Linked DNA regions of Ovis aries. The protein of the gene in region 1 purifies or fractionates together with the protein of each later gene. This does not show direct contact. Links are inferred from orthologs where the notes say so. Each region holds a gene or a part of one and is shown on either strand. Other genes may lie near its edges.

The links. The genes of interacting proteins can lie anywhere in the genome.
Region 2: the proteins of DNAJC11 (region 1) and IMMT purify together in Homo sapiens (co-immunoprecipitation; 3 studies listed by BioGRID and IntAct, with this or other methods). This does not show direct contact. The link is inferred for Ovis aries from reciprocal best matches to the Homo sapiens genes DNAJC11 and IMMT.

Annotation. Positions count from the first base shown.
Region 1 is NC_056065.1:46,123,551-46,127,405, forward strand, and holds part of DNAJC11 (dnaJ homolog subfamily C member 11), read left to right. Parts: intron 1-1,487; coding exon 1,488-1,643; intron 1,644-2,056; exon of another isoform or gene 2,057-2,256; coding exon of another isoform or gene 2,257-2,726; coding exon 2,727-2,796; intron 2,797-3,288; coding exon 3,289-3,346; intron 3,347-3,475; coding exon 3,476-3,618; intron 3,619-3,855. Other genes in the region: THAP3 (THAP domain-containing protein 3), read right to left, coding at 2,257-2,766.
Region 2 is NC_056056.1:58,063,602-58,067,456, forward strand, and holds part of IMMT (MICOS complex subunit MIC60), read right to left. Parts: intron 2,618-3,855; coding exon 2,482-2,617; intron 1,936-2,481; coding exon 1,806-1,935; intron 399-1,805; coding exon 384-398; intron 1-383. UniProt on the Homo sapiens protein: Component of the MICOS complex, a large protein complex of the mitochondrial inner membrane that plays crucial roles in the maintenance of crista junctions, inner membrane architecture, and formation of contact sites to the outer membrane.

The DNA.
Region 1 (3,855 bases):
ATTATTTCTGGAGCTGCTTTCGCTCCTGAAGGGTCTTGTCGCTGGGTACATGGTTCAGGGCTGATGGAGTTTTCTCGCAGTGCTCTCTCAGTGTTCTGCTCTCTTCTGGCTCCTCTGTTCCTGACAAGTCATTGGTCTTTTGAACCTTTATACTCTGATGTCTCTTTTGTTTATTTTCCCCCGGTTACTCAACTTTTTTTACTCTTGTTTCTCAGCACCTGAGTGTAGCTACACGTGATTTTGTTCTATGTCTGCTGCTTGGGGTTTGCTAAACTTCTTGCTTCTATAAATTGATGTATTTATTTATGTAGAATTATTTGCAACTTTTAGGCCATTAATTCGTTAAATGTTAAATATTTAATATACTTCTTCCCAGCTGCAGTGTTGCCCCAGACTCTGGGCTCTGATTCTTCGGTCCAGTAGGAGTGCATATTTCTTTGCAGTTTTAATCATCCTCTCCTCTCTGGGGCCGTAATTACTTCTGTGCTAAACCTCTGGTTTCTGAAGCTCTGCCCATTTGTCTTCAATCCTTTTTCTCTTTGTTCTTCACATTGGATCATTTCTACTAAATTCTCTTACTCTTCTCTCATCTCCAATCTGATGTTAAACCATCAGTGAATATGTTATGTCTTTGAGCAGAGTTTAAATAGTTGCTTTAAAATCCTTATCTGCTGGCTCCAGCATCTGAGATCGCTCTTCATTATCTTTTTCTCATTGTATCTGGGTATGTAGCATAGTTGGTATTGTATTAAGTGTTAATTTTTGTTTCCTTTTAGAAAGCTTCCTTTTAAAATTTGGGTGAAGTCTGGCTGCAAACTTGGGCTTACCCATGTAGCAACAGTCAAAACACAGCACCAGGCATCCTCTGGGGATCTCCGGCACACTGAGAACTTGGGGCTTCCCTTTGGGGGGCCCCCCCTCTTCCCAGACGCAATAGTTGCCCCAGACTCTGAACTCTAATTCTTCAGTAGGACTACAGATTTCTTTGCAGTTGTAATCATCCATTGTGGTATAGACTGAGAATTGCCTTCAGGCTAAAGGCTGTTTTTTTTAAAAAGTCCAGCAGCTCACCAGTGCCAGTTGGTGCTTCTGCCCTCGGTTGCTGTCTGGTCCCCGAGGGTGTGGGTCACATTGGTCAAGAGTTCACAGTTGATGTCTGTGGGGTGACCTGGCCAGTGGGAGCCACTCAGCCGTCACTGAGAGCTGACAGGATGTCTGGAGGAGTGGCCACCCCTGCCTCCCCGGGCCATGTTTGCTCTGCTTGGGTGAGAGTCTGCTGCTTGCAGTCAGCGGGTATCGAGCCCTTTCTTCTGCCAGACCTAGAGGCCCACTCGGGGGATGACCGTGAGGCGTGCAGACTGGGTTCCGCCTCCCCAGGTCCTGTGTGTCAAGAGGTTCTTTCCTGGGGCTGGGACACCAGCCCCGCACCCCGCAGCCTTCCCTGGGAACCTGACTCACGTGGGCACTCGGCTTTGCTCTATTCCCAGGTTAAATAGGGCCAGTCAGACCTACTTCTTCCCCGTCCACCTGACAGACCAGCTGCTGCCCAGTGCCGTGTTCTATGCCACCGTGGGGCCGCTCGTGGTGTACTTCGCCCTGCACCGCCTGGTCATCAGACCCTACCTCAGGGCTCAGAAGGAGAAGTGAGTTCTCAGCACTGGCGGGTACAGGGCCGAACCACCCTGTGCCCAGCTCCCCATCTGTGACGTGGAGAGGGTAGCAGCCACCCCACAGGGCTGTGAGGGAAACCACCTAAGCTATAGGTAGACAGTGCTCACTGCGGAGTCAGTCACATCAGGTCCTCAGTGAGCATTATAGTTGATATCAGTAGTAGTAGTACTACTGTTGGCGACACTTGGGTTAGCTCCCGTCTACCCACATTTCCTACTTTCAGAGAGAATTAGAGTTAGTTTACCAAACTGTTGGGACTGTAAGCCATGACCACAGAAATGAGAAGTCTTCCTTTTTCTCATTCTAACCATTTCTTTGCCTGGCATTGAATTCAAAGAGATCAGGCTCTGAGTTCCTACAAACAAGGCCCATGTTAACTACAGTCTTGGAAGTCATCTAGATGTAATTTATTTTGCAGTTTCTTAGAGATGATCCATTAGCACAGCATTAAACCTAAGAGGAGGTTTAACTTCATTACTTTACAATGATCTCATTTAATAGATCACTGAACTTAGTTGGGGAGAGAGGAGCCCAAGGAAGGCTCTTGGGGCGCCTCCAGCCTCTGATTCATTTAAATTCGGTGTCCTAATTCCCCAGCAGACTGAAGGCTTGGAGCAGAGGATGTGCTGGGCCAGGGCTGCCAGGACACGTGTGTGTTGCCCAGGTCCCCATGCTTTGCTGGGAGGAAAATACATGTATTTTATCACAAGGAAGTGTGCCTTGTCCCTGCCAAGGGTGTCCTGTGGTAATGCCTAGTTGGGGGCATCTCCTGAGATTCTCACCCTCTCCCCCTTTCCTGAGATTACTGCTGCGAGGAATCCTCCTCCCACTGAGGTCGGGGAGAGCCATCTGGGGACCACAGGACAGCGGCGCAGGCCTGGGGCAAACAGATTTGCTTGAACTTGCCTTGGAAATAGTATTTAAAGTTCTAGAACTGGGAACACAGTAAGATTTACAGGCTGTTTGCAGGGTGCAGGTCCAGCCTGGAGCACCGTGGCCTCCTGTGCTGGTAACCCCACGTTCCTCACACGTGGCTTGTGTTTTCCTCGCCTCAGGGAACTGGAGAAGCAACGGGAAAGCACAGCCACCGACATCCTGCAGAAGAAACAAGAGGCAGAAGCTGCCGTAAGTGCTGTGTCACCGGCTCCCTTCCAGGCCTCTGCCCTGTGAGGGTCTGAGCGTGGACCTGCCCATCGTGCAGAGCACAGGCCGTACCCATGTCCCATCCTTTCTCGTCCACATTTCTTAAACCGGGGCTGTGGGGGACATGCTTCACACCCTGCAGAGTGGTCTCGGGGGACTTGGGTCTTGGGCTTTTCTTCCCCAACAGCCTCCCTGGTCATCTAGTCTTTACGTTATTGCCTGTGGGATGCAGCGCTGGGAGCGTCTGTCTGTGCCCTGAAGAGTTGACCATTACCTTGCAAAGACATAACCAGGTTTTTTAAAAAGTGGTGGGTGTTGTCCTCTTTCTTCCTGTGATTGAATTGTTTTTCCAAGACTGCAATAGCAGCGATGTCCCGAGAAATGGACAAGCAGGACCGACAGGCACCAGGCACGTGGCCCTGACTCTGATGGAGCCTAGGGAGCCCTTGATAGTAGCGTCCTTGTCCCCTGCAGGTTCGGTTGATGCAGGAATCTGTCCGAAGAATAATCGAGGCCGAAGAGTCCAGAATGGGTGAGCAGGCCTGGCCTCTTTAAAGGACGGGGTGGGTGCTGGGTTCCCGCAGGAAACATGGCTCCTGCAGCCAGGCTGCACGGGGGTTGTCTGCCAAGGCTGCCCTGCCCTGACCAGGCCTGTCCTCAGGGCTCATCATCGTCAACGCCTGGTACGGGAAATTTGTCAATGACAAGAGCAAGAAGAGTGAGAAGGTGAAGGTGATCGACGTGACCGTGCCCCTGCAGTGTCTGGTGAAGGACTCCAAGCTCATCCTCACCGAGGCCTCTAAGGTGGGTGCTCGGGGTAGATGGGAGGGGCATCTGGGGAAGAGGGACCCTCCAAGGGGCCATGTCACTGCAGCGGAACCCATCATGCTGCCGCGTTCCCTGTGCGGGGTGCGGCCCAGGACCCAGGTTACAGCCACACTGGAGCGGTTGACTTCAGCCAGCCAGCCAGCCAGCCACTCGTCTGTCCATCCATTCGTTTGTCCATCTGTCCTTCCATTTATTGCCATCTGTTTTTTTGAG
Region 2 (3,855 bases), on another chromosome or scaffold:
GCTTCAACATAAGCTGGGGGAATAAATGAGACAAAACCAGCCAGGTGTTGGTAACTGCCAAAGTTGGGAGACAGGTCCACAGGAGTTCATTCCAATTTTCTTCTTACTTTTTAATGTTTGAAATTTTACCAAATAAAAACTTAAAATATATATCTTCACATATATCACATCTATAGGTTTCCGATCACACGGTAAAAACATTTTTGTTACTGAGAACATATGGATGACAAAAATATCCAAATTAGATTTATGGCATGCAACATAATTCTACTTTATATTAATTTTGATAGTTTAGTATGAGAATCACAGGCAAAATAAAGACTTGAGCCTTTTTAAGACTTAAAATACAAGTCTTTAAACATAAAATGCATGTAACTACTCACCTAGGTCAGAAATACCTACAAAGGAAAAGAACAATGGTTTGAGAAAAAGAAAGTACATGCATCAGTTATTAATCACTGTATAGAAATATCCAAAATACAACAAGAAGGAACCAGAAGCCAGTGGTAGAAAAAGCACATTTTAGTGCTGAAAAGCAAAATGATGAGTGTATTTCCTAAAAAAGTTTTAAAGGATCATAAAACAATATAAATCAAGGTAAATTCTAACATTTCAGAGAATCAGAGAGTGAATGACACTGAAAGTAGTTTTGGTTTCTGGGGACTCATCTCTTTTCATGAAGCAATCAACTAAATTTTCACACAGGAACTACAGTTCTTGTTTATTCCCCCACTTCACATCAGCTCGCAGGCTATTTCAGGAAGTCACAGTCCATTAAACCAACCACTTAATCTGGTTCTCAACCAAAGAAACAGGGAGCTGACCCAATGCTGCAGGAAGAACAGGCAAAGATGGACAAGGCAAATAGCTCTGTCTCAACCTATTGCCAGACTAAACTCTGTGGATTTCTCCACTTAATCCTTTCATACAAATCCTGATTTTATTTTCTGCTTTGATGAGAAACCGCTATCTATCTCCCTCTTAAGTGAGTCAACCACAAGAAAAAGAAAACTAACTTCATGTCTGAGTTATTTTTTGATAGCCTTGATTCTACTTCTTGCCATTAAATCATTCTGGTTGGCCCTAATGCTGTTAAAATCCCTGCACTACTTAAAATCCCTGAGCTACTTAGACCAGCCTTGGTTCTATGATGCAGTTTCAACACCCTCACCCGAGAGAGGCCTGTATCACTAGTTCTTCAAATGCTACCTGACGTTCAGTTTCTAAAAGACAGTGGCATTTAGGAAGTACTATTTTGATCTTGAGACTCCAGATCTCTGTGATTTCAGTCACACAGCGCTTCATGCAGATGTGACTACTCCCTGCAGTTACAATGTGTAATTGCCACCAAATTCCCTGCAATCTGAGCTATTTGCAAGCTGAAGGCCACACAGCCTGACCTTCCCTTTTCACCTAATGTCCCGGGGTGAGTTCTCAATCAGGGTTGTCACAGAGCAGCCACAAGGTATGCTTAAGTAATTCATTATGAATATTTTTAAAGTGCCAAACCTGTTCAATAATTTTACATATAATAGGCAAATAAAGTCAAGGTTAAAATATCTCTTCACTCACTAAGATTCCACACTGGCTGGAATTTGCGTTCACCATTGCTAAACCGGGTGTGTCACCTGTCACAGGTATGACTGAAATAAAATGCTGAAAACACTATACTGCACAAGAGATGAAATATGCATGCCAGACGGGTTTAGACCAGAGAATGGAGCTGGCAAGTTTAGATCAGATGATCAGTTGTTTAAAAAAAAAAAACTGAAAAAGTAAAATACCAACACTTCAGTTGCACTTACTCATCCCCTTCCACCCGGGCAAGACTTCTGGAGTAATACTGTCCAGCTCTCGTTTAAAGTCGTCCCGGGCTTGGACCACGAGCTCATGATACTGAGACACGACCTTAGCCTCAGATTGAGCTGCCTGAACCTGAACAAATACAAGGGGTATGTGGTTAAAGTGAACAAAAAATACCATAAACACTCCAAAAAATATGTCATATTCATGTATTCATTTACATTTGGTTGTGAATATATAAGTAATACATAGGAAGAAATCTAAAGGTCAGAGAAAGGAATGTAAATATTGTCTTTGTTTCCATCTAATTCTGTTCAAATGCCATGGATAAACCCTTTCCCATCTCCTTATGCCATTGGCCCTCTTTCTCTGGGTCACGGAAAAACTGACCACACAGATCAGAAGTGCAGACAAAAGAGATGCTACAAAATGGAAATTTCCGTAAGTAGTAAAGACCATGAGCAAACACTTACCTATTATAAAATGTATCAACAATACTGAACAATCCACTTCATGTCCAAAGCAAGTTTCTAAAATTAGTAACAACTAATATTCTTTTCCAGGGGAAGGGAGAAAGATGAAAGGAATCTTAATATTTTCCTGAATTCTTAAAAACCCCTTGACAAAACAACGACATTAAAAAATAAAAAATACTTATAAAAGACCTGAAAAACACACCTTTTGGACCACATTATCCAGATCAACGATCATGTTGTGAAGCTTCCCCTCTGCAGCGGTTATATGAGATTTGGCCCCAGCAACCTCTTCTTTCTTTGCATTTTCAATTACACTCTTCATCTTCTCTAACTCTTCTCTGGAAACCAATAAAACAAAGGTTTAGTATTAATCCTTGGCAACTTTATTAAAAAAACTGAAATCAATACAAGTTATAGCCACAATTGTAACAAGTTACAATTAAGTCTATGAAACATTTAATTTGAAACAACTACTCAATGCTTTTTCACACTCAATAGGCAGAGAAGTTTTCCTCACCAACAACTGAAAACACCTCAGTTTTTTAGCACCTCAAGTTAGATTTAAAGAGTGGACCAGATGAGTAGCATGGTGTACAGGAAAAGACATAGGCTTCAGAACCCGGTAGACCTGGATTTAGCTCCCAGATCAGCCTCTCCTTTGTTGCTCACCCTGGCATAGGGATTAGAAGTAATTCATGAGCAGTGTTTTGCACAGTACCTGCTACTGTGCTATCGAGAGCACTCAATAAATGGTAGCTTTTGCAAGGATTAGATTGATTCCCTTGCCAATGAGAGCTTGAGGAAGACAAAGGCAAGGGAGAAAATCAAAGAGCTCACTGAGCATAGAGCTGGGTCTTCTGGAGCCCTCTCGATTCAGGCTGGGTAGACTATAATCTACAAACCACAAACACAGAACTCAGAGCTCTGAATCATAACCTACTGATGTGATGAACATCATGCGGTCAATCTCCTAAAAGACATGTTAGCTTTATCAGAAAGCTTCCCTTTCTCTATCAATTATAAATATTATGTTAAGACAACAAAATTCTGAATGACAAATAACAGTTCCATAATGTTGATGAGAACCCATTTTCAAATACAGGTTCCTATTGACAGAGATTGAACATATTTGGTTTGCTTGCTTGATTCTAGTTTTAGCCAACTTTCAGGAATCAAGGTCAAGGTAGCATAAAACTAGACCTATTATATGCTAACTACTTTGGTAGTTAAGGCAAAGAGAGTGTGACACACTCCTTAAATTCTTATAAAACTGCTCAACCCATCCCAGAAAAACCTTGAAATAATGGCAGAATCTCTGTAAACCATAGACATATCACCTAAGTAATACTGCAAATAAAATACAAAATTGTTAAGTAAGTTTCTGCCACATTTATTTTGGCCAGATTATATATTCTATTCTCTCTCTTCCTTTTAAATTTTCATGTTCCTAAAACCAAAATACAGTATAGGTGGAGAAGGGAAGGGTTTCTCTGCCTCCTCTTTCTATGTAGACAGTACAAAGAAAACAGAGCCAAAAGAAAGCCACCAGGAGGCCCTAATTACTTGTCAAAGTCCA